4 linked regions of the Xenopus tropicalis genome follow. The protein of the gene in region 1 interacts with the protein of each later gene in a pairwise test. Links are inferred from orthologs where the notes say so. Each region holds a gene or a part of one and is shown on either strand. Other genes may lie near its edges.

Evidence for each region.
Region 2: the proteins of gcc1 (region 1) and abi2 interact in binary tests that used the Homo sapiens proteins (3 or more experiments, as listed by UniProt). The link is inferred for Xenopus tropicalis from reciprocal best matches to the Homo sapiens genes GCC1 and ABI2.
Region 3: the proteins of gcc1 (region 1) and cep57 interact in binary tests that used the Homo sapiens proteins (3 or more experiments, as listed by UniProt). The two-hybrid records come from large-scale screens. The link is inferred for Xenopus tropicalis from reciprocal best matches to the Homo sapiens genes GCC1 and CEP57.
Region 4: the proteins of gcc1 (region 1) and znf276 interact in binary tests that used the Homo sapiens proteins (3 or more experiments, as listed by UniProt). The two-hybrid records come from large-scale screens. The link is inferred for Xenopus tropicalis from reciprocal best matches to the Homo sapiens genes GCC1 and ZNF276.

Annotation. Positions count from the first base shown.
Region 1 is NC_030679.2:89,146,773-89,154,896, reverse strand, and holds the start of gcc1 (GRIP and coiled-coil domain-containing protein 1), read right to left. Parts: upstream 4,942-8,124; 5' UTR 4,833-4,941; intron 1,906-4,832; 5' UTR 1,884-1,905; coding exon 1,414-1,883; intron 1-1,413. UniProt on the Homo sapiens protein: Probably involved in maintaining Golgi structure.
Region 2 is NC_030685.2:54,196,273-54,204,279, reverse strand, and holds the start of abi2 (abl interactor 2), read right to left. Parts: upstream 4,440-8,007; 5' UTR 4,358-4,439; coding exon 4,241-4,357; intron 1-4,240. UniProt on the Homo sapiens protein: Regulator of actin cytoskeleton dynamics underlying cell motility and adhesion. Functions as a component of the WAVE complex, which activates actin nucleating machinery Arp2/3 to drive lamellipodia formation.
Region 3 is NC_030678.2:164,698,547-164,705,894, forward strand, and holds part of cep57 (centrosomal protein of 57 kDa), read left to right. Parts: intron 1-2,124; coding exon 2,125-2,202; intron 2,203-2,803; coding exon 2,804-2,905; intron 2,906-3,016; coding exon 3,017-3,097; intron 3,098-4,272; coding exon 4,273-4,499; intron 4,500-5,881; coding exon 5,882-6,026; intron 6,027-6,608; coding exon 6,609-6,818; 3' UTR 6,819-7,348. UniProt on the Homo sapiens protein: Centrosomal protein which may be required for microtubule attachment to centrosomes. May act by forming ring-like structures around microtubules. Mediates nuclear translocation and mitogenic activity of the internalized growth factor FGF2, but that of FGF1.
Region 4 is NC_030680.2:59,516,667-59,524,704, forward strand, and holds the start of znf276 (zinc finger protein 276), read right to left. Parts: upstream 4,463-8,038; 5' UTR 4,352-4,462; coding exon 4,225-4,351; intron 3,531-4,224; coding exon 3,221-3,530; intron 1,648-3,220; coding exon 1,604-1,647; intron 1,261-1,603; coding exon 853-1,260; intron 1-852. UniProt on the Homo sapiens protein: May be involved in transcriptional regulation.

The sequences.
Region 1 (8,124 bases):
CTGACCCTGTTGGCCAAAAAAACACTATTGTTCCTGTCCTGTTCTTCTTACAGTCTCACATTCAAAGCACTGTCTGGTTATTTGGTAAAATTGCACCTTAGCAGCCAGATAGCTGCTAAAACGCCAAAAAGCTTATTTTTTTCATAAGATACAAAGGATTTAAACTTTAACCTGCTGTTAAGGGAAAAGGTAAGCAAATATATATGCCACTGTGAGGCAGGAAAATAGTTGACAGACTGTTTAATTTGAATATAGTAAAAAAAAAAAAAAAAAAAAAAAAAAGAAACATGCATTGAAATAGATTTGAGTCTATGTTTGTTACCTCTACACAAATATATGCTTAATGTATATATTTATATGCTTGGTATCCCTGTATTTAGAAGTTACATGCCAAACATATATGCTGGGAATCCACCTACTCAGAGTACAAATATAAAATAAATGATTTTAACCAATGGCTTGGGACCCAAATATGGAGCCTCACACTGTTCAAGATTGATCTGTGTGATAACAGTGAATAAAGTTGGATATACTGCTACAGTAGAAAATAGTCAGCAAAACAATGTATATAATTCTAAACCAATTTTAGTCATGAAGCTGGTTCTTCAAACTAATTTTTCGTCACTTGAGAAAAAAGGTTAAAGAAACATGCACTGGTAACAATTGTGCGTTTGCTTTAGAAACACTACTAGTTAATTTAAACGATAGATATCCCCCACTGCTACACAGCAGCAGCTTTGTTTATATAAAGCATTATTTCCATCATATTTTCATTCCTCTTAATTTTTCATAAACATACATATGATATGCATAAACAAGCTAAACTGTTCCTTGAGTTCTTTCTATATTTAAAGGAGAAGGAAAGGCTGAGTCACTTGGGGTGCCAAAATGTTAGGTACCCCCAAGTGACTTAGATCGCTTACCTTTTACCCCGGGCTGGTGCCCCTGTACAGAGAGAACAGCACCAGCCCGGGGTAGCAGCGAGCGCTTCCTACTTCCTATTCGCTTGCGCGTGCATGCGCAGTAGAGTGAAAAGCCGAACTTAAAAACAAAGTCGGCTTTTTACTCTACTGCGCATGCACCGGCCGACGGATTTCACTGGGAGAAGAAAGAGGAAGGAGGAAGCGCTTCCTACAGGTACCCTGGGCTGGTGCTTTTTTCTCCTAACAGGGGCACCATCCCAGGGTACAAGGTAAGCGATCTAAGTCACTTGGGGATGCCTAACATTTGGGCACCCCCAGGTGACTTAGCCTTTCGTTCTCCTTTAAAACACAGTTAAAGGGGTTGTTACATGGTTTTGTTTGTTTGACACTTAGCCCTTTATCTTTAATATAAACAAACTTTGTATGTCACAAATTTAAAAAATTAATAAATTAAGTGTAATAAGGGGAACAACCTATTTAAGTTACATACCTAGTTAGTGTAGAAAGCTGGTTTTTCAGCTGCACCATCTTACGGTCAGTCTCAACTGCTGTGGCTTGACCTCCCTCTCCACTGGCAGTGCTGACCCCACTCTCTGAACCACTGGCCTCCTCTATTCCACCTCGTTGAGAAGGATCTGGTCTCTCATCCTCACTCGTCTCACCTCCTCTAGCACTGGGAAGACTACCTGCTGTGTCCACACTATCCTCACTGTGTATGGAATGTTGGTCATCATGTGCCTCTTCAGATTCTGAGAAAAGAGTGCCTGGCTCCTGAGTAGTGGAAAGTACATGGAGACTGGCCTCAAGGGCCTCCTTTTCTTTCTGAAGACTCTTGTATGCTCGCACAACATCCTTCAGTCGACCCTGGTACTGTTGTAGTTGCTTCCGTTGAGTTTCTACCTGCTCCTGAAGTTCCTTCTTACTTGGGCCACCTCCAAAACTCATGCCTAATTTCTCCATGGTAACAGATCAGCTTAGCATTCTGATTTTTATATAAAAGTAGAAGAAAAGAGGGAGTCTGAAATGAGTTCCTTGCATATTAAAAAAGACGTGAAAAAGACAGACGTAGATAAAAAAAAAAAAAAAATATGAAGACAGCAAACAGAATCAGTATTAAAAAATATCTGGCAAATAAGCATAATAAGATTAAAGGGGACCTGTCACCCTAAGAAATAATTTTAAATTATTTTCTATTGTGTTTGTTCAGCAAAATAAACTTCACTTACACTATATAAGTAATATAAATCTTGTTTCCTTCAGTCCTGGAATTACACAATCACATCAAATAGGCAGCTGCAATTTTGTGGACACAGTTATTAAGGCAAGCTTTGTATCACCCCAAAATCGTGTGTATGTGCCAGAATGGGGGACCAGATGCCCAGGCCCATGCATTGGCTACACAATTAGATGGTGAGGAGGGAGGGGGAAAGTGTGAGCTGAATTGAAAGTTAAAGTACTTGTCTGCCCCGCCTCTATGCCTTAATATATGATTGACAGCTGGGATTTTTAAATGCCTTTATAATGGGTTTGAATGTGTTAATATAAAGATGATTTTGGTTTTTTCTTTAATTTGAAAAGGACTTTTATTATACAGCTTTTTATGTCTGGGTGACAGGTCCACTTTAAAGGTGTATAAAGGAAGTACAATCAATATGCAGAGCAGTGGAAGTGTCTTAAAGATTTGGAGCAATAGAACCAAAAACTGTTTTCAATTGCTTTTACAAATAACTTTAAAACATAGAAAATGTTTAATTACTGTATTTTACAAAGTTTCTTTCTTTTTGCAGGTCAGATATGGCTTTAATATTAGCCAATAGGAGGTGATGGAAGACCAGATTTTGCAGGCTGATTTGTATAAACTTGAAATATGGGCTTAGAAAAGTAAGCAAGCTTAAGGTGGCCATACACGCACCGATAATATCGTGCGAAACCTCGTTTCGTACGATATTCGGTGCGTGTATGGTATGTCGGCGAGTCGACCGATATCGCAGGAAGCTGCTGATATCGGCCGACACGCCGATCGGTCCAGTTGGAAAATTTTGATCGGGCGCCATAGAAGGCGCCTGATCAAAATCTCCCTTCAGCGCTGAATCGGCAGAAGGAGGTAGAAATCCTATTGTTTCTACCTCCTTACCTGCCGATTCAGCCCTGAATGGTGTGTGGCACATCTGACGATGTTTCGTGCGACCGATGGTCGCACGAAACATCGTCAGATCGCCACGTGTATCGCCAGCTTTAGGCTGTAAGGCCAAAGTCAGTCAAATTTCTTGACTATGTATCTCAGTGTTTGGCCCTCACAGTACTTGTATGTGTATAGTGGCATTCACAGCGACTAACAACTTCAAGGAGAAGGAAACCTACTGATACTGTATACTCTCAATAGATTAGCCACAATAGTGCAAGCTAGAAAGCTATATTTATTCTGTAGAATGCGTTACCATACCTCAGTGAACAGCCCTAAAAGCTATCTCTGTTTGTTTTGGATAATAGCTGCTATATTAGCTTTGTGTGATATAAATTCCAATTCCTCCTGCACTAAGTCTCTGGCTGGGTCATAGCTCTGGGCTCAGTTTATAGCAAGAAGGGGAGAAAGAAGCGAGCTGCACAGGCAGGCTTCCCGGGGTATGGTGTTTTAGCTAGAGAGGAAGTATGATAAAGAAGCCCATGTGTGAACAACAGAAGCAAAGCAATGACATGTTTCTTTTCACAGGGGCTCAGAGCAGCATTACTGTGAGTGTTTATTGGTGTTTATACTTAGACATTTCTGATAAAGCTTAAATAGTTTTAACCTTTCCTTCTCCTTTTATTTGGATGTGATAGGTATTGTGTGAGTTGTGACACTGTTGGAAATACAGTGGCTTGCAAAAGTATTCGGCCCCCTTGAACTTTTCCACATTTTGTCACATTACAGCCACAAACATGAATCAATTTCATTGGAATTCCACGTGAAATACCAATACAAAGTGGTGTACACGTGAGAAGTGGAACGAAAATCATACATGATTCCAAACATTTTTTACAAATAAATAACTGCAAAGTGGGGTGTGCATAATTATTCAGCCCCCTGAGTCAATACTTTGTAGAACCACCTTTTGCTGCAATTACAGCTGCCAGTCTTTTAGGGTATGTCTCTACCAGCTTTGCACATCTAGAAGCTACCACTAAATACTGCTTGCTGGCCTTGGTGTTAAAAAAAATTATATATACATGTGTGTGAAATAGGAGCAAATAGTTGCATGCATATGCTAGTTCTTAGGTGGTCTAAAGTCCTGGAGATCAGGTGGATGATCACATGACCACACTAGGAAATAGCATCCTGAAGTGACATGTGCATGTACAATAAGCCTAACTCCTTACTGTGCATGTATGCTGCCATTTTGTTTGTCAGCTAAGTTTACAGATATAATGTTAATATTAACACTGCTGCCAAATTCTGCCTTTAAACTGCACGGTTTTAAAATCCATCCTACGTGGCTGTCAAGCCAGCAGTACAGATAAAGGCTTCATTTGTTTTAATGCAAGTAGATTACTAGTAATTACTGATCAGACATCCAGTTGGGGCAAAGCCTTGTATCACTCGAACACTACGTTGTAGTTTAGAACAGCTGGTAGTATGGTTCAACTTGGAAATCCTTGATGAAAATAGAATGCGGGTGACATTATACTGGAACTGCTATTTAAGGCCACCTCCGATATTTGCCAGCATATTGGAAGTCATGGATAAGCAGCAATCAAGTAAAGCTTGCACTAATACTGCCTAAAGAGACGTCTTCTCTTCAACACAGCAGCATGGCTATTAAAGACAATTGGCAACTAACTAATTTAAAAAAAAAAAAACAAAAGCTTCCCTGGCACCTTCACATTAAAATCACACATTTCCATTAAGCGAAAACCCGCAGCCTCACTTACCTACAACATCAACCATCTTTCTCAATCCTGCAGACGTGGAGCAAAGCGCGCGTTGGCTACTTCAGCTGCCAATCAAATCTTTAGACTCGCCTCTCAATCTGATTGGAATAAGGCGCGGCTTATAGTGGTAAAAACTTTTTTAATTGGTCGACACTGGCTAACATTGACAACAGGCACTCGACTACCTCTACATGAGAGGCGGAAGCTGCTTTCATTGGTCAGTGGTTACCATGGCGGAAGAAATAGATATAAAAGTATATATATATATTGAAGAAAAAAAAAATGCGCACGCGCAGTAACATAAAAACCGTTCCGGTTCTCAAGTACAAGATGTTAGCAGTTTGCATGATACTGCATAGCTGGTGTTGGATCCACGCTGTGTTTGAAACTACAAGAATGAATAAATCAGACCGGGGGATGGCGTTGGGTGAGGGAGAGAGCGGGGAATTGTATCTTATTTCAAAGGATCAGCCACAGTGGAGCTCCTACAGGAGGCCGAAAAGCAGGGAGGATGAGGGAGGTTGTCTCTTCATATCCCAGCAGTTAAGAGTGAGTTAGGAGGCAAGCAGAGTATGCGTTTAATCTTACAGGGGGTGAGAAGATTAAAGCTAGCTGTACACGCACTTATCAGGCCCGGGTGTGTGGCTAGGCCACAAAGACCCTGGCCTAGGGCAGCAAAAATTTAGGGGTGGCATGCCGTCCCGCTGCACCGGAAATTTGCTCCCATACGGAGCAATGGGAGACTTCTTTCCACTGTGAATGGGGCGGCCTCAGGGCGCGATTCGGTGCGTGTTTTGCGGCTTGATGAGGCCACCGATATTGTAAGAGGCTGCGGATATCGGTTGACTCGTTGATCAGCCACGTTAAAAGATTTTGATGCCGTCCGGGCAAAATTTATGTTAAGGGCTGAATCGGCAGAAGGAGGTAGAATTTCTGTTATTTCTACCCTCCATGGAGGGTGGGAACGATCTTTCGAAAGATCAAAATTGTTACGTGTATGGCCACCGTAACTAGCACCAAAAATTTAGAGTGTTTCAAAGTAGTTCATGTATTATGTAATATTGCCCTGCATTGGTAAAATTTATGTGTTTGCATTAGATACACTACTGTAGTTTTTATAAACAAAGTTGCTGTGCAAACTAAAAAAAAGGAGAAAAGGCATAGGTTACACAGCAGATAACAGATGAGGTGCATAGATTCCCATTGTATTCTACAGAGCTTATCTGTTATCTACTTATATAACCTGTGCCTTTTTTCCAGCTTGAATGGAAAATTGGAAGGTAGGAGTGCACAAGCGCGAGACTAGACAAAATAATGTTTTAGTGCTCCAGAAGGTAGCATCTGAGTTTTTTTCTTAAAGAGAGTGGGTGAGTGTTCACTATGGAGGAATTCAGGGATAGAGTTTCAGAGGTAAGGAACAGGATATAAAAGGTTTAAGGCGAGAGAGAGCAGTGGGTGTGGAAAAAGGTGGAGGCTCTATAAGAAGCGGAGGAGACAATCAGGAATGTGCAGAGAGACCAGTGAAGAAATGTAGTGAGGAGCAGAGAAGTGAAGGGCTTTGAAGGTTAGCAGAAGGATTTTGTATGCTATCCTTTGCTTAATGCTAGTGCGATTGTGGGGCTGAACAGATTGCCTCTTTGGAGAGAGCAGGAGGATCCTGGCAGCAGAGTTTAAGTTTGATTGCAGGAGAGAGAGGTGGGAGTCTGGGAGGCCGGTTCGTAGGAGATTGCAGTAATCTAAGCGGGAAAGGGTAAGGGCATGGATTAGTGTTTTAGCTGTTACTTATGAAAGAAAGGAGCATATCTTGGTAATATTGCGGAGGAAAAAACAGCATTTTTCGGCAGTGTTATTAATATGGTTAGAGAAGGAGATTGATTATAGATAACCCTAAGGCAGCATGCTGAATGGTCATGCCGTCAATGGTAATGGTTGAAGGAGGAGAAGGGCTAAGTTTTGGGGAAGAAAATGAGCTCTGTTTTAGCTAGGTTAGCGTTGACGTTGGTTTATCCAGGAGGAGATAGCCAGGAGGCAGTTAGCAATCTGGGTTTGAACATCAGTGGTTAGTGAACGGGTGTTTAAATATATCTGGATGTCATCTGCATATAAGTGATATTTAAGACCAAACAAAGAGATAAGGTCTCCTAAAGAGAGAGTGTATAAGTAGAACAGCAAAGGACCAAGTACAGAGCCCTGAGGCACCCCCACACTAAGCTGAACTGGGGTAGAGGATTTGTTAGCAAAAGCAACAGAGAAGGAGCGGTTAGAAAGATAGGAAGAGAACTAGGATGCAGGCTGATCCCTGATACCCAGAGAATAGAGAATTTGCATAAGGACAGAATAGTCAACAGTATCAAAAGCAGAGGAAAGGTCCAGGAGAATGAGAACTGAGTAGTGTCCTTTGGCCTTGGCAGTCTGGAGATCGTTTGCCACTCTACATAAGGCCGTCTCAGTGGAGTGCGCAGGCCGAAAACCAGACTGCATAGGGTCCAGAAGATTATGGGTGCAGAGGAAGTTAGTGACACTAGAAAAAATTAAGACGTCCCAGTAGTTTAGAGGCTAGGGGTAGGAGAGAGACCGGACAAAAGTTATATAGGCAGGTTTTAATGGTGATGAGGGCATAGGATCCAGTGAGCAGGTAGTAGGCGAGAGAAACGGAGAAGCTGAGAAACTTCAGACTCTGTTCAAAGATCAAAGAAGCTGAATACAGAAAGAGGAGATTTAGGAAGGTTGAGATTACTGGTAACTGAAGGTTGTGAGAAATGGTTGTGGATAGAATCGACTTTGCTTTTAAAAAAGTCGGCAAACCATTTTTATTTTTTGGTGTTACTGTTCCTTTAATCACAAAACATCTCCCAAGCATCTTTAGCAATTTACTGTGTACTTTTTGCTGCCCTGACTGTTATTTACACTCACTGGAATTCTCACTGGATCTGCTCTCTCAGGTTACTGTAATGCTAAGAGTGTTCCAGTAAGCATACTTCCTTACATTTTGAAAAATGCAAAGAGGGAGAAAAAGAAATGCACGCGTAGCATGGCAGAAAATGTTTTTGACCACACCCTCTAAATACCACTCCCATTTTAAATTTGGCAGGTTATGTAAAGTTTTAACATATTTCTGGGGGTTTTGGGGTCTTGTTTTATGTGTAATTACAGTTTTGCTAATAAAGGTGAAATTGACCTTTGAAGACATTCTGTCATGATTTTTATGGTGTAACTTTTAATTTCTAAATTACATTCTAAATTATTGGTGTGTAGGCAGCCATCTTCATTGTGCCCAAGTCTGAGCTTTCAG
Region 2 (8,007 bases), on another chromosome or scaffold:
ACCCAAAGTGGGATATTGAGGTACTGTGAATTCAAGGTTGGACTGGCCTAACAATGTACTGGAAAATAAAAAACTTGGTGGGCCCTGGTCTTGTTGAACCCCTTTTCACAGGTCACTGTGGTGGGTGAGCTGGACTGCTGTTGATCGGCAATCACTTTCTTATTTATATTTATTTTTCAGATTTCCTAGCGGTTAACGACACAGAAAATATTAACTAATTTTTAAAGTCGCCCAGTAGACCTATATTGAGTTAAAAAAGCAATGTTGTTCTATTTTGACATATAAATTAATTTGTTCTAATTGAATTAGTTTGGGTATGTATTCTGTCATAGGAAATAATAGATTTCAACTGCATTAATAGAAACTGATACCCCTGAACAATGACCCTATAAAAATATATTGCATAAAACAGCTCATATGTAAAACCCTGCTTAATCTAAATAAAGCATTTGCATAAAAACTCTTTATTAGTATGTACCATTGGAAATATTTATTATGAAAGTATAGTTTTCCTTAAACCTTGCAAGTCAGTGTGGTAAATGGCAAAGGCTTTGATAGGTGAGAAAAACATTAACATTTTACACGGAAACTTGAAGAAATACCAAGGAAATGTTAATAATTGGAATACATGAGTACAATTCAAATGGACAAGAAAAAGCCAGAAAAATCATAATGTGATATTTGATAAAGATGATCACATGGAGTAGCTCATGTGTTAAAACTAAAGCAATGCCCTGTACTAATTTTGCATTTTTTTTCTGGAGAACAATATGGTAAGCCATCTCATGAATTAAACACCAATTACAACAACTGCCAGTACAGACACAAAAATGTTTCCACAGGAAGGCTAAAAGGCATACATATTGCACACAGCTGCATTGCGTGTTCTCCTAGTTATTTTTATTCTCCAAACAGGCCAACAGTGAATTGCAGTGCAAAACCACTCAATGACAGTGATAAACAAGAATAAAATAAAATGGTCTTTTCATCTTCAACTACTGCAGCTCTACACTGAGCACAACACAAAATAAATCATGTACATGCCCGCAATTAAAATTTTTTTTTTTTTTTAAATCAATTAAATATTTAACTGAAAGCACAAAGGGCAATTCTTTTGTAGGTGACCTGTTTAAATCTAAAATTAAAAGCTGTAACAGCAGGGTGCTATAGTTCTTAGGCTAAATTCACAAATAGAAAAAATAAATGAATGAATCCAGGTAGAAGAAATTTAGCCCTAATTCAACATATTTATTACTATGATGCACAAATAATAAAAATGGCACCTACATTTTTATTTAATCACTTAATAAAATATTCCTTATTTCTTTCTTATTCACCAAAGGAAGTATTCCTGAACATGAATTTTATGCTAATTCTTTTGAGATGATAATAAGTAGAAATCAATTCTCATTTTCTTTTTATTGCACATTCTCATTGGATTTACACTGAAACCCCTACAGGTCATTGCAGCAGAATATGGTGAACACAGCTATTAACTCCCTGTTGGTTTGCACTAAAATATTACATGAGGGATGTCAACACCATAGCTTTATAGCAGGGAGGCATACATACATAATACTTCACATAAATATTTGGACTAAACCAGAACCCTAATAAACAAATTAAAATATGAACTGAAGTTTTTCTGTTAAAATGTTAAGGTTCTAGAGCAAAAAAAATGTATTTTTGCTATTTGGCCAGTAAATTTTCAACTGGTTCTAGCAAATCCCAAAAATGAGAAAATTCAGCCAGCTCCCAAACCTGTCTTAAATTAAATCTTCTTACCAGTCATAGGTAAATGTATGAATAAGAAACCAACAACACAGACAAAAAAAAATCCCACTCACTATTCCAGGTTTAAACAACTTTCCAAACCTTCTATATTAAAAAATTTAAGCCCAATGCTGGCAATATTAGGTCATTAATACATATATAATACATCATTCATTATTGGGTCAATTCTAAGCATTTTACTTTTTGTAGTTTTAGCACATTTACATTTGCAATTCCGTTTTGAGTCAAGATCAACATGATAACGTGATTTACTGAATCGGCAAAAAAACAAACCAAAACTAAGTATTACAGATAGTGAATCTATTATGCTTAGGACATGGGGTTTTCTAGATAAGGGGTCTTTCCATAATTTAGATCACCACACCTTATGTTTGCTAAAAATAATTAAAGCCCAAAATAAACCCAAAAGAATTGTTTTGCCACCAATATGGATTTGTGGCTTAGTCAGGATCAAGCACTATTTGCTTATAATGGATTCTAAGGGGATGAACTTGCCATAATTCAGAATTTTCTGGATAACAGGTTTCGATTTAACCAATCCGATTTCTTTAATTTTTATTTCATTTTCAAGAACTTCTGAAATCAACAGATGAAATGAATATACATCAATCTATTTGATCATTGTGGCTCTGTAAGACATACTAAGGTGCAAGTGTTGTGCCTATACAAGTTATTATTAGTTATTTACTGAAAGGAACAGATGCCAAAACTCAACATAGAAAAAAACTATTTTTTATAGTTCTTGAATTGTTTGCTTTCTTCTTGTAAGTCTTGGCAACTTTTAAATGGGGGTCACTGATTCAGGTCCTCTCCTCTTTATATATCAGTCTCTAATTCAAACATCACCCTGGTTGCTAAGGTAAGTTACACCCTAGCAACCAGATAACTGCTAAAGCTCCAAACTGGAAAACTGCTGAACTACAAATAATAAAAAAAGACCAATTGCAAATTGTCTCAGAATATTACTCTCTACATCATACTAAAAATTAACTCAAAGGTGAACGACCCCTCTAAGCAATTGGAAGTGTAACTGCTTCCCATTCAACTGAGTGTTGGAAGGAGTAAAGTGTGCTTCATCTCCTTTTGGTAGTCAGAAAGGAAACAGCCACATCAAACCACCACATAGTTGTAATTAACCTTCCAAGCAGTATGCAGACGCTCCACAAGAGTTTTTAACAGCTAAGCACATATGTGTCATGGGAAACGTAAGATGCATTTCCTAATGTAAACCTGCATAATTAATAAAAAAGGGACAAATCAGGGATGTCTCACACATTAATTACATGCTCCCTGTGGTAATGAAACCCTAGGGCAGTCACTGCATAACTGTATATAAAGCCCATACCATTTCATCAGTGTTCTACTCCATAAAACTACAATTAAATATATATATGAAAGATAAGCATTTCACAATATGACAAATAATGTATTCCATGACTGAAAAATATACATTGGTGTCTGTGTGAAAAATTAACAGCCTAAGAATCAGCTTTAATAAACGTGTGACATGGGGGGTCAGGGCATGCAGCCCAAAACAAGGAAAGAGAAAACCTACATATTCCATAGGCAGGAGTATAGGCTCAGCTCTGATACACTGCACTTACTGCTTATAGCCAGCTCTTACCTACAGAACAGGTATGCAGGTTCATTTTCTTTACAACTGTACACTAAATGGTAACATAACCAAGATATTTTGAATCTCACCAATTGCTTAGTAGCTTCCTAACATCACACACATAGTTGGCATAGTGGACATGTCTGGAATAACCCAACAGCCCATAAAGTGTAGGTGTATTCCAGTATAATGCTCCTGACTGAATGAACCATGTGACTGGTGAATGGGGGGGGGTGGATTTGAAGCAAAGTAACCTATTCTTGGGGGGCAACCTATGGCTCAATATTGATACTGGCCATTTTGGCAATTATAGGAGGTTTAAGATTGCACTCTTTACACTCAACCTCAATTGCCTCAATCTTACATTTTTACTGCACATTCCCACATAATATGATGTCATTTGCTATAGAAAATGCAGTAATAACATCTCCCCCCCTGCCTGTAGGAAGAGTGGTGTGTGCCACGTGATGCTATATATAAATACATGGTGACGTGACAGCAAGGCTTGCACAGCTACCCGTAAGGGTCAATATTGCAATAGGGTGAAGAGTGGGATTATTACACTATAATGTGCGTGCATATCCCAACGTGCCTGCCCATCACGGTGCTTTCATTATACTCAGGATCATCACACTGCATTTCACTAGTCATTTCTCTGTAAGTCCCAGCATCCCTCCCTCTATATAGGAAAGCCTAACTAGAGATGCCGGGACATAGACCGCAATCACATCTATACAAAGCTGCAGATCGGCGGTGTACGAGAAGCCCAGTCCAGTATTCCCTTGCCCCTGTCTAGCGCTACATCACATTCACAGCTCTAAAAAGTCGGACCTGTATGTAATTGTTCTCGCAGTAGTCGGCCACCCTCTCTAGGTTTGTGTAGCTGTCCAGCAGGGCCCGCCGGCCGCCCGGAATCTCTTCCTCCAGCAGCATCTGCAGCTCCGCCATCTTTTTCACCACATCCTCCTCCTTTTGGAGCCCCGCTACACTGCGGAGAGATGGAATGGTGAAGCGATCCTCGGGAGCGCGCCCTGCGCGTAACTATAATTAAAAAAAAATCCGAGAACGCGCTCCAAAAAAAAGGCGGCGTGCCCAATAGGATATGCACTTCCACGCACTAATCCATGGGAAACGCATGCGCACAACATAGGTAGGCGGAACCCTGGAATACGCGCTTCTGGCCGTCCTGCTGCATCCTCATTTGAAAACTCGTTTCCTAGCAACAGAGAGACACTGAGATGGAGGAATGTGGGAATAGAAGGGACGAAGGTGGTGACCGTTCCAGCCCTCTCTTTTATCATCCGTAAAGCCTAGCGATAATGAACATATAAGCCCAGTGTTAGTAATAAAAATAAGAACTTAACAAGGAACACAGCAAATTAGAAATGGCTTGAATTTGGTAATCATACTGCCTAGTTGCATAATTAGAAGCTATGGGGGATGTACATAAATATCATAGGACCCTCAAAATTTGGGGGAAAAGTCTCCTGCATTTATAATAACAAATTATGAATTTAGTGCTTCCCTAATTCAAGGTCACATGGTTTCTTGTTAGCTCAGTTTAAAAAAAGACATAATCTGCCTATTGGCCTGTTATCAAAATGATGGCCTCTGATTATAAAATGATTATAAAGGTCAGAGATGGATCCAGAAGTTTAAAACACTCAATTGCCATGGAGCATATCTGACCATGGATGCAGTCCCTTCCTGTTGGTTTGCAGGGCTCCTGATCATTACATTGGGTTCTAAACAATTGGATCAGATAAGTTTAGTCCACCAGTGGAAAGGTTTTTACCACAACCCAGATAGTTTTAGTCTTAAGTACAGGCCAGATTACATGATATTTCCAATGCTTTATAATTAAACACAGGCCAGATTACATGACATTTCCAATGCTTTATAAAGTTTGTCATGAACTAAAATTAAAGTCAGTAGTTTGAGCATGGCTTTCTGTTGCTGGTGCTGGAAATTGTTCTGCAACTGCTTAAAGTCCACAAAAGGATCAGCTCTTCTGAAGGTCAAAATTGCCAATGATCTTATTGAATACAGCGTTGAGTGAATAAAATATCAAGGAAAAGTGCTTTAGACATAAGCATAGGTCAGATCACATCATGTTTGTGATCATTTTTCATTGTTTGTCATGTACTTAAAGTAAACCCAGTAGTTTGGGCACAGCCTTCTTTTGCTGGTGCTGGAAATTGTTCTTCTTAAAGGCAACAGAAAGCTCAGCTCTTCTGTAAGTCAAAACTTCTAATGATCCTTTTGAATAGAGGAGTGAGTGAATAAAATATCAAGGAAGAAATACAAGAGCATTATGGATCATGTTTGTTTTATCAGTCTGAACTACCACCATCTGCAAATGCTATAGAACCCCAGCAGCTTCCAGTACTTTTTTTTTTAACTTCAGCAATATAGGACTCACTGCAGACTGTATTAAAGGAACAGTAACACCAAAAAATGAAAGTGTATAAAAATAATATATTATATACTATTGCTCTGCACTGGTAAAAGTTGTGTGTTTTCCTAATAAACACTACTACAGCTTATATAAATACCCTGCTGTGTAGCCATGGGGGCAGCCATTTAAAAAAGGAGAAAAGGCACAGGTTACTAAGCAGATAACAGATAAGTAGCATAGTTTCCCATTGTATTCTACACAGTTTATCTGTTATCTTCTTATGTAACCTGTGCCTTTTCTCCTTTTTCAATTTAAATGGCTGCCCCCATGGCTACACAGCAGCTATTTCTATTAACTATAGTAGTCTTTCTAAGGCAAACACACAACTTTTACCAGTGCAGGGCAACAGTACATCATATTTTAATTATTTTAAAACATTTTATTTTTTAGTGTTACAGTTCCTTTAACCACAAGGCCTGACTGAACTAGATCTCTGACAAAAAGATTTTCATTCAAATAAATCCTGATGTGCCATTCAGTTTGTCTGCATTTATGCCCCCAATGAAGACTAATATTGAAGAACTAAAGTTCATATTTCTTTTTTTTCACAATTCCTTTTTTTGTGCTAAAACTTAAATTTTTCATGACTTATTAAACATAAGAACCACAAAAAAATACTAATAAAAAACATTGCCATTTTAAAGCTGTCGATATCACTTGGAAGGGAGTTGTCCTAGGCAAACTGTAACAATGTGTATTTAATTTGTGGTTGTTGAGGTTTTTGCTTTTTTTACATGTGTAATTCCATGAAGATTTGTGGAAAAACCGTAAAAACCACAAAAAATGTGTGGTTTTGTGGTTTTACATTTTCGGCTGCATTTTAATTTATTCATGCTTTTTCAATTCAGTTCTTTAAATTAATCACTAGACATTCGTGGTTTTAGTGGAAATGAGTTTAGTTGTGGTTTTAAAAATCATGGAAATCAAAATATTGATAATTCTGCCCTTAAATGACTGCAACATTTAGAATAACTGAAACTCAACAAATAATTTGGCTAGACATGTTGCATCTTATTGTATTGGGTTTCTGTACCAGCACAAAGCAATCACAGCCCTTTAGTAGTCAACATATGTACTCAAAGTTGCTCCTTGTAGTTCCCCTTCTAGTTCCTCTTCTGATTTAAAGTACATATTTAGAACTCATGACTGTTACCTGAGCTCATTGACCTGAAAAAATACACTATATATACACAATATTACAATACAAGGCTGATTATAAAATACATAATCTGTACATGACATGGTGACTATTAGCACTATAGCTTTAGCTTCTATGACAACTGTAACCACTATCTATAAATATTTTTGATTGTTTTCAGTACTCCCTAAACATAGCATCTCAACAGCAGCACAGGGAACATTGAGCCGCTGACACACAAAAAAGATATGAAGATGGCAAACTGCTGAGAAAAGCTTCAAAGGCATGGATTGTTTCTGTCATAGGGCTGCTGAACCACTGAGCTGGTAAAGTGAGTTCAGTATAAAATATACAGTATTTCTAGCCATATGCTATTTCTATTTTAGGCTATAGTTCTCATTTAATGTTTTATAAGTAGGACAGTTTTATATATATATATATATATATATTTATAAAAAACATAATTTCTTTTAAAGGACAACTAAACACTAAAAACGAATATAGCTGGACATGCTATATTTCATATAATTAACTTACTGCACCAGCTTAAAGGTCAAGAATCTCCATAACGGTAATAATCCAGGCATTCTTTGTTATCATAGGAATTTGCCATCTTAAATTTTTTTTCAGTGATACATGCTTAATGTTAAGAAGTTAATTTTAGGGGTCATTGCAAATCAGCAAGCAGAAAATGAGGTTTGCCTGTCATATAGGCTGACCCTGCAGAGATGATCATTATATTCTGATGCTCTGCACTGGTTGCAGTTTCCATTTAATCAGATTTGAATTATGTAATTTATATTCTACATATGTATATACTGTATATTGGGAGTTCATTCATAAACACAGGCAAAATAACAATAATGCTGTTTCCATGGAGAAGGAAAACATTCATCTGGTTCCACAGCTTATATGCTTTTGTTTTACTTTAAAAAAGTGAGGTTTGGTTTGATTTTAGTGTCCCCATACCTTGGTGTTAAAGTTGCAAATTGCTGATACATA
Region 3 (7,348 bases), on another chromosome or scaffold:
CAGAAACATTACTGGTAAAGGCTACCTCACCAAAATATTCTGCCGTGTAAATGTCCAGTCTGTCTAAAGCTAGCTCATAACAGCAGACTGTTAGTACACGTATAGCAGGGGTCCCCAACCTTTCTTACTCGTGAGCCACATTCAAATGTAAAATGACTTGGGGAGCAACACAAGCACCATAAAAGTTCATGGAGGTGTGATTGGCTATTAGGGGCCTCTATGCATACTATCAGCTTACAGGGGGCTTTATTTGGTAGGAAATCTTGTTTTATCCAACGAAAACTTGCCCCCAAGTCAGGAATTCAAAAATAACTCCCTGGTTTGGGGGCACTGAGAGCAACACCCAAGGGGTTGGGGAGCAACATGTTGCCCCTGAGCCACTGGTTGGGGATCACAGGGGAACTTCATCAGCATCAGTTGTTGATGCTGCTGTGCATGTTTCCATGTAGAAGAGCTTTTTGCAAACTAAGATAATAACAGCCTTGATTAGCTTCTCTTATAGAGCATCATATATGTTCTGCACTGTATAAGTACTTTGGAAAACAAGCCTCCTGTACTTAACAATCTTTGCCAGAATTTGGGGGAGGCTAAGCATAATACATAGCATGTTTTAGGCACTGAAGCAGTGTCCTGTTGTATGAACAGTGCTGTTTACGTGCGTATATGCACTTATTTTTGTATAACTGGAATTAAAATATTATGTTTTCACATTAATTGTCCTACTTAAGTCTATTATTGCCTTTGTAGAAGCTATTAGAACCAAAGAAATAGGGAAAACGTTATATGTTCACCTGCTATTATTTTATTTGGTATATACAGGTATGGGACTTGTTATCCAGAATGCTCGGGACCTGATGAGGGATCTTTGTCATTTGGATCTCCATACCTTAAGTCTGCTAAAAAAAAATATTTTAAACATGAATTAAACCCAACAGGAGTGTTCTGCCTCCAATAAGTATTAATGATGTCTTAGTTAGGATAAGGTACAAGGTACTGATTTATTTTTATAGAAAAAAAAGAAAATAATTTTTTCATTTGAATTTTGATTAAAATGGAGGCTATAGAAGATATGGCCTTCCTGTAATTCAGAGCTTTCTGGATAACGGGTTTCCAAATAACAGATCCCATACCTGTATATCAAATTTACACACATTTAAAGGGATACTGTTATGATTTTTATGGTATGATTTTTATTTCTAAATGACACTGTTACATAGCAAATAATTCCCTCTGCCATTTAAAATTGTATTCTTGAACCAACAAATGTATTTGTAGCTGTAATATTGGTGTGTAGGCGCCATATCAGTGCATTGTGTCTGAGTCTGAGCTTTCAGCCAGCGCTACACATTAGAACTGCATTCAGCTACCAGGGGTCGGGAACCTTTTTGGCTGAGAGAGCCATAAACACCACATATTTTAAAATGTAATTCCGTGAGAGCCATACAATACGTTTGGCTGTGGGGCAAGGTAGGGTGGGTGCCAAGGATGCCGGATGCGATGCGGAGGAGGGCGTGGCCTGCGCTCGGCAGATAGAAGACGCGTTTTAAGGCTTAGAACACGTGTTCTATCCGCTGGGCGCAGGGGCAAGGTAGGGTGGGTGCCAAGGATGCCGGATGCGATGCGGAGAAGGGCGTAGCCTGCGCTCGGCGGATAGAAGACGTGTTCTATCCGCCAAGCGCAGGTCACGCCCCCCATAATTTTTTTTTATTAAAGATTTGGCAGAGAGCCAGATGCAGCCATCAAAAGAGCCACATCTGGCTCCCGAGCCATAGGTTCCCTACCCCTGAGCTAACCTATTGTTTCTCCTACTCCTATGATACCTACTGGGAGCTGCTATCTTGCTCCCTTCCCATTGTTCTGCTGATCGGCTGCTGGGGGGGTGGGGGGGGGAATATCACTCCAACTTGCAGCGCAGCAGTAAAGTGTGACTGAAGTTTATCAGAGCACAGGTCACAGGGCTGTGGCACTCTGGGAAATGAAGAATATGGCTAGCCCCATGGGAAAAACAGATTACAACGCAGGATTCTGCTGGAGAAGCTCTAATAACTGATAGGTTTTTTTAAAATACATGTTTTCCTATGACCGTATTCCTTAAAGTCACATGACACCATTTTGCTTTTTTAGAAAAAAATCAGTGAAATCGAACAGAAACTGAGAGAGGAGGAGCATCAGCGCAAACTTGTGCAGGAAAAAGCAGCCCAGGTAATAATACTGTTTGCTCTTCAGCTTGCGATCCTGTCTGAAACTTGGTGATCTCATTACTGTATGTTGTTGTTATAGTATAAAGGCAACTGTATATGGAATGTGTAAATTTAAGTAGCTCAAGGGTAAGCCAAATGATGTAAAATCACTCTGCTCTTTTGCCTGCAATAGCTATATATGTGTAGTGCAAGTGACTGCCATACTTCCAATCGTCAGTTACCTGATTATAGGTGGACAAGCACAGCAGGCAGTGGGGGGATTTGGTACCAAAATCAGGTTTTTTATGCTATTGCCTTAACAACATTAATGTGATTGCAATAAGAAAGCTTATCAAAACAGTGAATGGAACTTGTTTCAAAACAATACTAATAAATAATAAATATTTAGTTGCCTAACAGTGCATTAATAAGTTGGTAATATGAAATACAAATGATTAGATGATTAATACATACCATGCCATTTGCAATGGAACTTGGCATAACCGGACCAGTTTTGTCATAAGTTACTCTCAGCACATTCTACAGGGAGGTGCCTAATTTAGTTTATTTCCGTTTTTGTATAAATAAATACATTTTTATCTAAAATATTTTCTTTCCTCCAGCTCCAAACAGGGTTGGAAACCAACAGAATTTTGCTCCGTTCCTTAACACCTCCATCAAAACAAGTGAAGGCAAAAAACATAAAGTCACTGCAGCTGGAAAAGGTATTTGGTCCTTCCGTGCTGCTAGTATTCTTTGTGGGCCTACCTAGAGTTTGGTTCTAGTGCACCCTCTTTGCTCTTTATTTATATGCTGTGTTCTTTCTTCTATTCCAGAAACCCACCTTTTCCAGTGTTTCACACTTACAGCCCCACTATCGCCTGAGCTTAGGAGATGTGCCCTTTGTTGCTGGAAAGGTAGGTATTAAAACCTTAGTCTTAATTTTTTCGATAAATTTTCTTTTAGGGAATCCATTTCCTATTTGATGCCCTTTTACATGTGCTTACGTAACCCAAGCTACCTTTTAAGAGAGCTGTACATTTGACAATGGTTACTCAGCAAGGCTGAAACTGGACACACTGAGTGGCAATAAATGTGGTACTGAGGGTTGGACGTTTTCTGGCCAATGTGGTGGAGGGCCGATAATGGAAGCCAGTTTTGACTACCCCCTTTTTTTACACTGCACCCACTTCAAACCACACCCATGTTATCACAAGAGCTTTTAAAACCATACCCACAATAATGGTGGTTGCGCAGCTAAAACACAAATAGTTTGTACTTACTGCAGGGATATCACTTATCACTCATACGTGAAAGAAGATTAATATGTCATATTAAGCCACACTCTTAGCCACTCCTCCCCTGTGGGTACCACAGAAAGGCACATAATTACACACCTAGGGATCCCATGACAACTATTTCCAGATGCTAATAAACTCCCAGAACAAAGCCCTGCCAGATTCATCTCTGACGAGCAGCATAGGGCAGGCAGGGTATGGCACACACAGGCAGGGTAGGGCAGGCAGAGTATGGCACACACAGGCAGGGTAGGGCAGGCAGAATATGGCACACACAGGCAGGGTAGGGCAGGCAGAATATGGCACACACAGGCAGGATAGAGCAGGGAGGGTATGGCACACAGGCAGGGTAGGGCTGGCAGAGTATGGCACACACAGGCAGGATAGAGCAGGGAGGGTATGGCACACACAGGCAGGGTAGGGCAGGCAGTGTATGGCACACACAGGCAGGGTAGGGCAGGCAGAGTATGGCACACACAGGCAGCATAGGGCAGGCAGAGTATCACACACACAGGCAGCTTAGGGCAGGCAGAGTATGGCACACAGAGGCAGGATAGAGCAGGGCAGGAAGAGTAGGTGATGCGACAGGGAAACCTGCAACTGGTCATGACCACTTCAACAAATAAACAGTTTGTACTGTACAGTGACACAATGCTAGCACTGCTCCTACATTCTGTGGGCCAGATGCTGGCAGTTGGACAGTGCCGCACTAGATTATAGAGCTCTCTATAAGCATATAGAATGTGTCTATTGTCTTTTTGCACATGTGTTTATTTTGATATTTTTGGTTCTAGTCCACAGGCACTAGCTATTCCGTGAGAGCCAATGTCCAGCATGTCTTGCACCTGATGAAGCAACATAATAAACTCTTGTGCAATGACCGAGTTGTGAGCGATCAGCCTGTTGAAAGGAAAGAGAGTGCAGTAAGGTGGACACCAGACCCAGTTTTATCTTCTCGCTCTTACCAAGACCTTTCAGAGGTTTTGCTCACACTGGAGGATGAGTTTGGGCAGATGAGTTTGTAAGTTGTTTCAGAGCTTCAATATTGAACTTTAAGCACATCATCTGCATTATGATGAATCCCTTTCCTCAGTTTAAATGGTTAATTTAAAAAAGGCTAGAGCCCTTGCAGGGGGAATATGCTCGTCTGTGCTTGGCAAAAGAGGATTCTGATAACCAGAATCCATGGGACCCACAGGGCTCTCTGGGAGATGGGCCCTTTGTAGTGAGTTTGTAAAAGGTTTGTGAGGTTAATGACATGATGCTGGATCTGTTGAGGTAGCTCAGAACTTGCACAGCAATCATCCCTGTTATCATAAAAGCTTGGTTAGACACTTTGCTAAAAAAAAAAAAAAAAAAAAATCGTGCATTTGCATGAGCAGCATATTGGCCAAATATTGGGCAGATCTCTTATCAGACAGGTGAGAAAATCCCCTTGGGTGAGGACCACATCAGCATACTGGTGAGATCCTCTCCCAACAGGAAGAGACCTAGATGCAAGTCCCTAAAATTTCCTGCCAAGACTTGCAGAGTCCCTTAAAGGAGAATGAAAGGTAAAGTAAGCTTTATCAGAAAGCTCGCAGAAACGCTGCACTGAGTCCTCTTTTAAAAAAAAAACAGGATTTCTTGTCTCCTTTTTTGTAAACCTGTTCTTAGGGTATCTGACTTCCTCTCTTAGAAAAATCCTTCATTCCTGGGGCCGAAGTCTGCACACTTCTCTCTCACCCTTCAAACTGTGCTGTAATCTGAGCTACCAGCAGCTAGAGCTGCAGCACGAAAGCTACTGAGACCAAGCTAAAATGTCAGCTGATAATTATTAGTAATGTTTGTTCAAAATAAAATCTTATTTAAAAAAAAAATGGCAGCTGCTATCTTAAACAAACAGATGGAGCTTCTAGGGCTGTTTACTCAGGTATGGTAAAGCTTTCTGCAGAATAAATATAGTGTTCTAGGTGGCAATATTGTGTCTGATCTATAGGCACTAAAATGCCTTTCCTTCTCCAGTGATGCCCACTGTGCTTTAATATGACCTTGATGTTTAAACTGCCCAATAGACAAACCAGATTAGTAAGAGATGAAAGAAATATCCCAAAAGGACAAGAGAGAAGCAGTGCAACAATGCCCAGCTTATCTATTCTTGCCTAAAAAGAAAGAAGAGGTATCTAGATGGGTGGTCCCAAGCTCAGATCTCCTCTCCCACTATAGGCCTCTCTATAGGCTAGACATCCAAGGCTCCAGCATCTGGAGACGCTGTAAGAGCCAAGATTAGTTAAAGCTGGATGAGGTAAAAGTGCTTTTTGATTGGTTGTGTTCTGGAGGGTGAAGTCTGTGGCATTGGGATGTAAGATAAATTTATTTCAGGGCAACTGACATAATAGTTAATTCAAACAATGTGTCTTCTAGTGACCACCAAGAACTGGTAAAACAAATCCAAGAGGCGCACTCAGATCACTTAAAGGAGGATCTAGAAAGAGAGCTGGAAGCTCTTGTGAAAAGGATGGAGGCAAAAGCAGACCAAATCACTAAAGTACGGAAACATCATGCAATGGTGAGTCTCCAAAAAACTTTCTGAGCAGGATTGAATGGGGTGTCAGTGGGGCCTTTAATAACTTTATAAATGAGAAGAAACATGGCAGTCAGTACATTTGCCTTTGTGTGCTGTTGGATGCCTTGAAAGCAACTTACAGGCTTTACACCTGCCATATATTAAAGGAGAAGGAGAGGTACAATCACTGGGGGGTGCCAAATGTTGTAATCACTTACCTGGTACCCCAGGCCGGTGCTCCTGTTGGCAGAGTGAAAAAGCTGGCTTTCTTTGTTACAGTTCAGCTTTTCACTCTTGTGAAAGTGGCGCTAAAGAATGAGAAGGAATAGGATCGCTTACTCGCAGGTACCCCGGGCTGGTGCAGTTTTCTGCAACATTGAAACTGGCCTTTCCTGTTTTCATCAGATTGCCACAATGTAGAAAATTAATATAAAACAAATCTGATTGGTTACTGTGGGTAACTGCACTGGTGCGACTGAGTGAATCTGCTCCAGTGTCTCTTATATTGTAGACCTTCATACATTTATTTGGTATTATATGATTCTAATGTGTTTGTTCTTGTTAAAACGTTTTTTCTCTTTCCAGCTTGGAAAATTATTTGGGCAAGCCAAGGTTAAAAAGAAAGCGACTACCGAGGAACATGCAAAAGAGAGAAAGCACTTTAGGGATGGGAAGGAGGCCCACGTGAGCAAAGACAAACCTGGGGAAAGGAGCAGGAAGAGCCTGCAGCTGCTGAGGGACATGCAGACCTTGCAGACTTCCCTCCAGAAGGAGGACATTAGCTGGGACTGCTAAATAGTCCCTCACTCACACTGTGAGATATGTCTCAGGGAAAGTGTCTGCATTGCCTCTCTCCTTCCTTCTCTTGTCCTGCCTCGCTGCCCACAACATACACAGCTTGCCCTTTCTGTGCTCTCTGCATTGGTGAGAGGGTGCAAGGGCATCGGGGGTCCATCACCAAAGCCCACCTGAAAGTGCCTGCAGATCCTTGCTTTGCAACCAGTATCCCATGGCAACCGCTAAAGGGAAACAATAATTAGCTACCTTAATTTTCTACCTTTACTACTTTTAATTTACTACCTTAAAGTAACACCTCAGGCTGTAACCCTTTGCTCCCCAGTTCTTCTGCATTACAGCATTCTAATTTGCCCCTGGTCTGTTCTCTATTGGAGGCCTCCCGTTATCATTCCAGAATGCATTGATGGTGCTACAGGTTTTTACCTCAAGAAAGTGAATCTGCAAAACTCAATGCAGCAAATGCAACTTCAGACTGAACACAACAGGAGGAAAATATCATTGTATTATAATAATGGATTTCTTCCTCC
Region 4 (8,038 bases), on another chromosome or scaffold:
AAGTGACTTAAGGAGGACCTGTCACCCAGACATAAAAACTGTATAATAAAAGTCCTTTTCAAATTAAACATAAAACCCAAATTCATTTTTATATTAACACATCCAAACCCATTATAAAGGCATTTAAAAATCCCAGCTGTCAATCATATATTGCTTGCCTCGTCTCTATGCCTTAGGCATAGAGGCGGGGCAGACAATAACTTCAGCTTTCCATTCAGCACTACCTAGATGACACTGCACATCTCACTTCCCCCCCCTCCTCATCATCTAATTGTGTAGCCAGTGCATGGGCATGAGGTTTCCCATTCTGGCACATAAACAAGATTTTGGCATGATACAAAGCTTGTCTTCATAACAGTGTCCACAAAATGGTGCCTGCCTACTTGCTTTGATTGAGTAATTCCAAGACGGAGGGAAACAAGATTTATATTATATTATTGCTCAACTAACAATATAGAAAATAATTTGGAGTTATTTCTTAAGGTGACAGATCCCCTTTAAATATTGATTTCTACAAGAAATGTAGGACTATGTATATAAAAATAATATATTTTAAAATACTGCAGAGACCATTTTATCTAATTCTGATTCCAACTCTACAAAATTCAAATGCCAGCTGCTAATATGGTCACTGCCAACTAAATTTGCAGTCCAATGTCTTGTGTACAGGACCCCTGGCTGGGGATTATTCAGAGAAAAATTCCATAAATCAAGAGCCCCTGGTCAATGTACCCATAATAAACCACTCAGATTTTTCTGGCCCCCAGGTGATCCAATCATTTACCTGATGGCCCAAGGTTTGGATCAGCTGTTTTAGCCACCATCTTTAAACATATGGCCAGGTTATCTTACCTTGTGATGAGTCTGGAGCAGCCAAGGGTGGAGAAGGTGTTCTGTTTTGCGTGATATGATTTACTACAACACAGGTATCAAGAAGCACAGATGCGGTGTTTATTCGATCAGGGGGGTTGTACTCTGAATCAGGTATAGTCCTTGTGTTAATACGGTGTATTCCATTGCCACTTAAGCCCTGCTCGGGGCTCATTTCCTCCTCTGGTTGAGCAGGTGAGGAGATGCAATCTGAATCTGGTTGCATGATATAGTCATGTCCCCCTCCACACTCCCACACTGCTTGTATAATACCACAGTACTGTGTGGCCATCACCCTCTGCAGTATAGGTAGGAAGGAGCAGCCTCCTGCATGTTTGTGTGTCCAGTTCACCAGGCTATGTAGACATTCAGGAGTTGAAGTGATTAAATCTATAAATTCAAGAAAAAGCATTCACAAATCTGTGTGGAATTGTGAGTGATCACACTACACAAATTAAAACTTATATAAAGTAACCATGTGATTACAGACAAGCCATTATGAAAGCTTTAATAATAATTATATATATAATTATTTATACACTTCTACTGTACGTAAACAGGGAGGCATAAGTAAACTACATAATACTTGTATGCAGTATACAAGAATACAAGTATACAAGTATACAGAATGTTTAAAATAAATACTATCTGCCTTTTCAAAAAATTGTGTTTTTATTTATGGCATACACAATTTGGTATGTAAGGGAAGAAGGCCAATAAGCTAATGTTTTACCTGCACAGGGACCTGTGGTAGAACCGATGACATCATGTATTTTGCTGTTGGGACAACAAAAAGAAAAGATACAGTTGCTAGAGGACACATATAGCCCCAAAGCATTATTCCCGCTTCCTTACAATATTTTGGCTAACATAGATCCCAAAAATAAATGTAGTCCTTACATAGGATGTCTAGTATAAAATCAATTGTGCGTAGCAAACAGTAGATTTGAGCTGATTTTCCATGTCTGCATTATTTGGTCACACACAAGATTTTTGAGACATGCAACCACACAGAATGTATAATTTGGCTACATACTCGGGGGCTTAAATGCAGGAATGGCGACTGCCCAGTGTTTGCTGAATGAAAAAAATGCAGCAATGAGCATTATCTATCTTAAAATTACTGAAAAGCATGAACAAATCCGTATAAGATTCATAGCTCAACCCCCGGCATGTTTTAGTGGTTCACTCTGGCACCTAGTAAGTAAAGATACTCAGCATACAATTAAAAAGCCACAATACACATATACTTGCCTGATGTTGTACCTACGGAAAAAACAATATAGAGTGTACCAATACTAAGGGGCACATTTACTAATCCACGAACGTCCGAAAAGCATCCAAATGCGTTTTTTTCGCAATGATCGGTATTTTGCGATTTTTTCATAAATTGTCGTGACTTTTTTGTAGCGTTACGACTTGCGCAAATTGTCGCGACTTTTTCGTAGCCGTCGCGCCGAGTACGAAAGTTTCGGATTCATTCAAGCTTCAGTATCGTGACTTTCCTTGGGCCAGGTTGGAGCTGCAGAGTGCCATTGAGTCCTATGGGAGGCTTCCAAAATCATGCAAAGTCTGAAAGTTTTGCCCACCGTTTACAATCGCTCAATATGAAAAAGTCGCGACAATATACAAGCAAATCGTAACGGCTACGAAAAAGTCGTAACGGCGACTAAAAAAATCTCAGAAAATACGAAAAAGTCGCAAAATGTTCGTTTCCAATCCGAATTTTTCCCATTCTGATTCGTGGATTAGTAAATCAGCCCCTAAGTAAAGGTGGGCATGCGTGGAAAAAAACACTTGTTTGATAAGGTCTCTACTTCCCACAGACAATCTAGGGCAAATCAGAATGATCTGAACCATTTTGCTCCACAACAACTATCAGGTCATACTGCAAGCCAGCTTATCACAAAGGGGACACTTTGGCATGCAGTTCATTCATTTTTGTGTCCTCCAGGGTGTCTAAGCTGGCTGCCTTCTTTTATGTAAGTTTACATGCAGCCATACTGATTATAGTTTGTTTTTGTAAGCAAAGGTTGTAGCACTTTCATTAGTTGGCGTTATAGTTCTCACCCATATTAACAAACAGATAATGGAGGCTTTACCTATTATAATAACCAATGCATAAATTATAATGAACTGAAAGTAACAAATATTTATAAAGCGAGCACATTTTATCATATTATCCTGCAACAACTCCATTAAACAACACAGAATACTAAGTCACTCTCAGTACAGCTGCTTTTCACTTCAGGCCCCAACACTTCTCACAGTATTTTGTGCCATTTCAATGCAAAGAGCTACTTTCCCAGTGACTTGAGGAGATGCTATAAAAAAGCAGAATAACACTCACTCAGATTTGTTGCCATGAGGGTTGGTAGGCGAAGTGTTTACTTTCTGAATGAAAGTTCTCAGCACACTGCGACATTTGTAAAACTGAGCATGGCAGTGCTTGCACACAAACTGCGGCAGCTCGGGATCCTGACGCACAGATACACCCACCAGTTGATGGAAGTCGGCAAAGAACACATGGTCCAGGCGCTTCTGCTTCTCTGAGCTCAGACCTGTCACTGGCACTTTCCCAAAAGCATGGCGCAGGCTACGAGAGGAGAACTTGCCATGACAGAGACGGCAGTACCCAGTGCCCACAGTCTTGCCAATGCCTGAAAGCCAATAGGAATCAAAGAAAGAGTATTTATAATGGCAAAGAACACAAATAAGAGTTTGTACATCCTTTCTGGTGGCAAACTGCAGCCTTATTCATGCCAAATAAGCCACAAATGAGATGCCCATATGACCAAATAGCTCTAATAATACCCTGTCATAGTACCATGGTACCCAAAAGGGAACTAAACAGCAGGAGGGTGAAGCAGAATCATTGCAATTAGCACTTTATTAAATATTTGGGGTTTCCTATATTTGCTTTCACATCACTTGATAAAGGGACGGGGCAACGCAAACATGGTGTGTAATAAAGTGTCAAAGTTTCCTCAATTACAACCAAAAACCACAGACAAATAAGGGAAGCCTTTGAAGTTAATGCAAACTCATATAGTGACAAACACTAAAACCCACTACATGCTGCTATATTGTTTTTTCTAGTTTATATTTACTAATACATAAATATGCTCCTAGACAATAACCCATAGTAACATATCACAGCTATGTTCACACATAAATAGGAAGGATACAAGCAAATATTTGATTGGTTAATTTATAAGGGAATAGTTGTCCAAAATGAATAAATATGCCACTTTATGTATTGCAGTCTACAGACCAACACGTTTCTGCGCCTCTACATCCATGTAACTCTGAAAGCTGTATCCCTCCATACATTCTTCCTCCCTACACTCTCACCCTGGATCCGCTCATCTCGGCCCAGCTGCACGGCACAGCCCACAGATCTGATCCCTTCCGGTACCGCCACCTGAGCTCTTCTTTTCCGCTCCGAAGCCGCATTCCCCCTACGTCTCTCCCGCTTCATCCCTCGGCTTCAGCCCCAGCGCTTGAGCACCAAAGCCGCCATTAAACCGGAAAGCGCCCTACCAACAGGACGGGGACTGCTGGAAAGAGAGGCCGTGGTGACATATTGCCACCTTGCGTCAGGAAAGAGCTACGTCGAAGAATACGAGGTTAGTTGCGTATTTATATTTAATATATGGTTGTACATATTCCAAACCTTATTAAATATTGGACAAACAATGTTGGTTGTGCAGTACGCCTTGTGCCAGCAAAGCAAAAATATTCAAAAAAGGTGGCATGTATTTGGTATAAGGAAAAACATAAACGAGAGACGAGGAAAGAAAAATTGGGAAAAGAAAAAACAGTTTGGAGGGAAAAAAATGTTCTAAAAAGAAAAGCATGTATAAAAGGGAAAAGGCAGAAGAGTGTTGGGAAGTTGAGAAGGCAGTGGAAGGCATGAAAACGACAGTAGGATGTACATTAGAAGGGAGTAGAGAGGTGTTCCCTACAGGTGTGGGTACAGGCTTTTACTGAGGTGCATTTGGTACCTAGCAATGTCCCCACTGTAACCCACTGTTTCCCTACTTTCTACAGTGATTGATGGGTGTAGTTTCTCTATTTGCCTATCAGTGTTTTGTTCCTGTCACCCTGTGTTGTGTTAAACTGGAACTGCAACCAATGCCTTGCAATATATAGTAGGTGTCTTCTCCCAGAGAAGCCACTTCTCCAAGTGGCTTGGCATTTGAAAGTGCAAAGGGTTGGTATATCTGCCATTGGTGCCTATGTATGATTGTGTTTGCAGACTGGTGTCTCTGTAATTCTAAGCAAGTTCTACTACTGTATATGATGTACCTGCCTATAAGTGAAAGGAGTTAGATGCTCTGCTCCTGGCCCTTCATGCGGTACCTTCAGGTTAAGAAAGGCTTAAAAGGAATGTCCACAAGTAAATATTTAGAATCAAATATTTGATTTGCAACAGGTTTTTTTCTTATGTCCCCTATTACACATGCCATAGGCCTTATATTTTGCAGTTAGCACTTTATAACATATTTGCGGTTTCACCTATTTACTCATAACACAATTGATAAAAAACCCAAACGTGTTGTGTGTGACATGGTGTGTTTGTAATAAAGTGCTAAAGCATCTTCAGTTACAGCGATAAACTACAGGCAAATAAGGAAAGCCTTCTGAGTTGTGCCTTCAGTTGCATAGGGTTCCAGCTCGTGGGAAAAACTGAAGAGACTCTGAGTGTGAATAAAGGTTTTTGCCTTCAGCTGCCTCTAGTAAAATCACATGTATTTGGGTTGGGTCATGGTTTAAAAGCTTCTTTTTGTTGTACTACTGGAAAACACAGTGTGTATATATTGTATTACTATCAGTATAATTTCCATTAAAAGTGGAAGTGAGTACAGTACTTCAGCCTAAGTATTGCTTATTGAGCACAGAATTTCTAGACTTTTTCATCTATATATTCAAGTGGGAGATGCACTACCTGAGATATTTACGGAGGCTTGAATGTATGTTTTCATCCTAAGAGCACGGAAGAAAATCTAACTCTGCTAAGGGTAAGCCATGACATCTTTACGGATGTCAACCTGACATATCCTTCCTAACCTACCTCCTCTCAGCTATGAGTGACTGTAACATAGAATCAGAGATACTTCCCTCTGTATTGCTGGATATAAATGTGGTGCTGTGTGTTTGTGTGTTTCCCTGTTATTCAGAACTACATGGTATATGGGCAACGTCTAACTCCATCATTCCTAATACATACACACATCAGACTCTTCATGTGTTACATTTTTACATATTTATTTTGCTCTTATATTATAATTCATAAAATTAAATGATGAGTGTCATGAAAATGACCTAACAGAAATATGGAAGAACACTGGAGAGTAACCACAAAACACTTTAACTTTATTTTGTAAAGTAACACAGCAGCAACAAATCATCCTATGGATAACAGAAAGGTAGTTCCAGCATCCCACAAAAATCTATACACGGTCTAAACAATAATGGGTGAAGGGTAGCTGAAGCAGTAGATTTAAAATGCAGTCTTTTCTTCTCTCTGGGAGATGCCCAGACGCACTGGGAATCAAAACCGCTTGGGAAAAATGTACAGGTCTGGCTGGATTCTGGTTAAATCTGTAGTTCCATGTTGCAGGGGCCAGTTAATGCATATTTATATGTTTCCTGTGTCTCTGCCTTACAGAGAATTCAGCTCTGATACACCTTCCACAGAAAGTCTTCCCATTAAGCCATGGGGTCCTGAAGAATAAATCTTTTAACCTCTTCTTAGTCAGTCCGCTGAGGGTAATTCCCTGTAGATGTCACTGGCCTTGCCAGTTTTCTTGCCTGCCAGGTTTTTTGGCCACTCTTCCCAGGGAACATTGTAATCCTCACAAATTATTTCAAAGCTTTTCAGGTAGGAATCAATGCCCTCCTGTCTGTCATCAAATGTGAGAAAGGTAGCATGTGTTAATTTCACTACTGGTTTGTAGACCTCAGACCTCAGGATGGATCCAGAAGAATACAATGCAAGAGATTGTTGGTTCTGCCTTGTACCCAGGACCTCCTGAGAAGCCAGCTCAAGGACCCACAGGTGATCTGCAGCAGAAAGGCACTAAAACAGCAATCCACTTATTATTTCGATCGATCACAGAATCTGTGACTCGCTCATCACCTGCTTGGAAGGCAGAATCAAACGGAGAAGCTGCTGTTTCCTCCTCATTAGATAACAAATGATGTTCCATAATAATAGGGTTGGTCTGTTGTAGTCCAACTCTCTGGGCATTAAATGCAGCACTCTCATCATCATTCTGCCCCTTTGAACGTAATTCCTAGTAGAAGCTTGAACTCTGCAGGATAGGTAAGTGCAGGTTATGGGGCTCTCCCGCCAGTGGATGTGTGTTGATGGGGCTCCCCTCAGTAGGGTGAGGCCCTGATTCACTGGGAATCAGAGCTACTTAGGAAAAATTTACAGATCTGGTGGGACTCTTTCCAGAAACTTATCTGCCAGTCTAGCAGCTTCCTCTAGGGTGAGTGGTAATAGATCCCAAACCCACACTCTCACTGCAGGGGCACATTGTTCAATGAACTGCACCACTAAGCAAAGCTGGTGAAGTCCCTCAATTGTTGCTTGTCCCTCAGCAGATGGACCCGCAAATAGAAGAACCCTGATAGTGATGTCCTGCTTAGCCCTGCGCAGTGTTACTCACCAAACATTGCTCCAACAATCACATACAATCTCCAGTATGGGGTTCCATGCCTTTCTTTTCTTCAGCATCCGCCCAGTAATATTCCTTCCCAGATACAGATCTTATATTACGCTCTTGCTTCAGAACTTGCTGAGGTGGAGCATCTCATATTCACTTCATCCCACCGGGACTTTTTCTATGTATAGGACTATGGACTGGCCCACCACCTGCCCTTTCCAGTCACATATTTGCCCCTTGTATGAATCTCACTCAGCCAAATAATCATTTGCTGATATTTCTATAGCCGGTGTTAATACCCAGGCTTGGAATTCGGTTTGCTCTAGGTCCTGTCTAAGGCCTTTAAACACATGGCACAAATGGAGGCTGTACTTTTTTTATTCAGAAATTCGCTCTAGTTAATATCCTGAAAAGTAGGTGATATTGAATAGTGAATATCTAACTTGAGTGATTAAATTTTTTTACCCTTTGTGCTTCTAAATCGGTCCTCA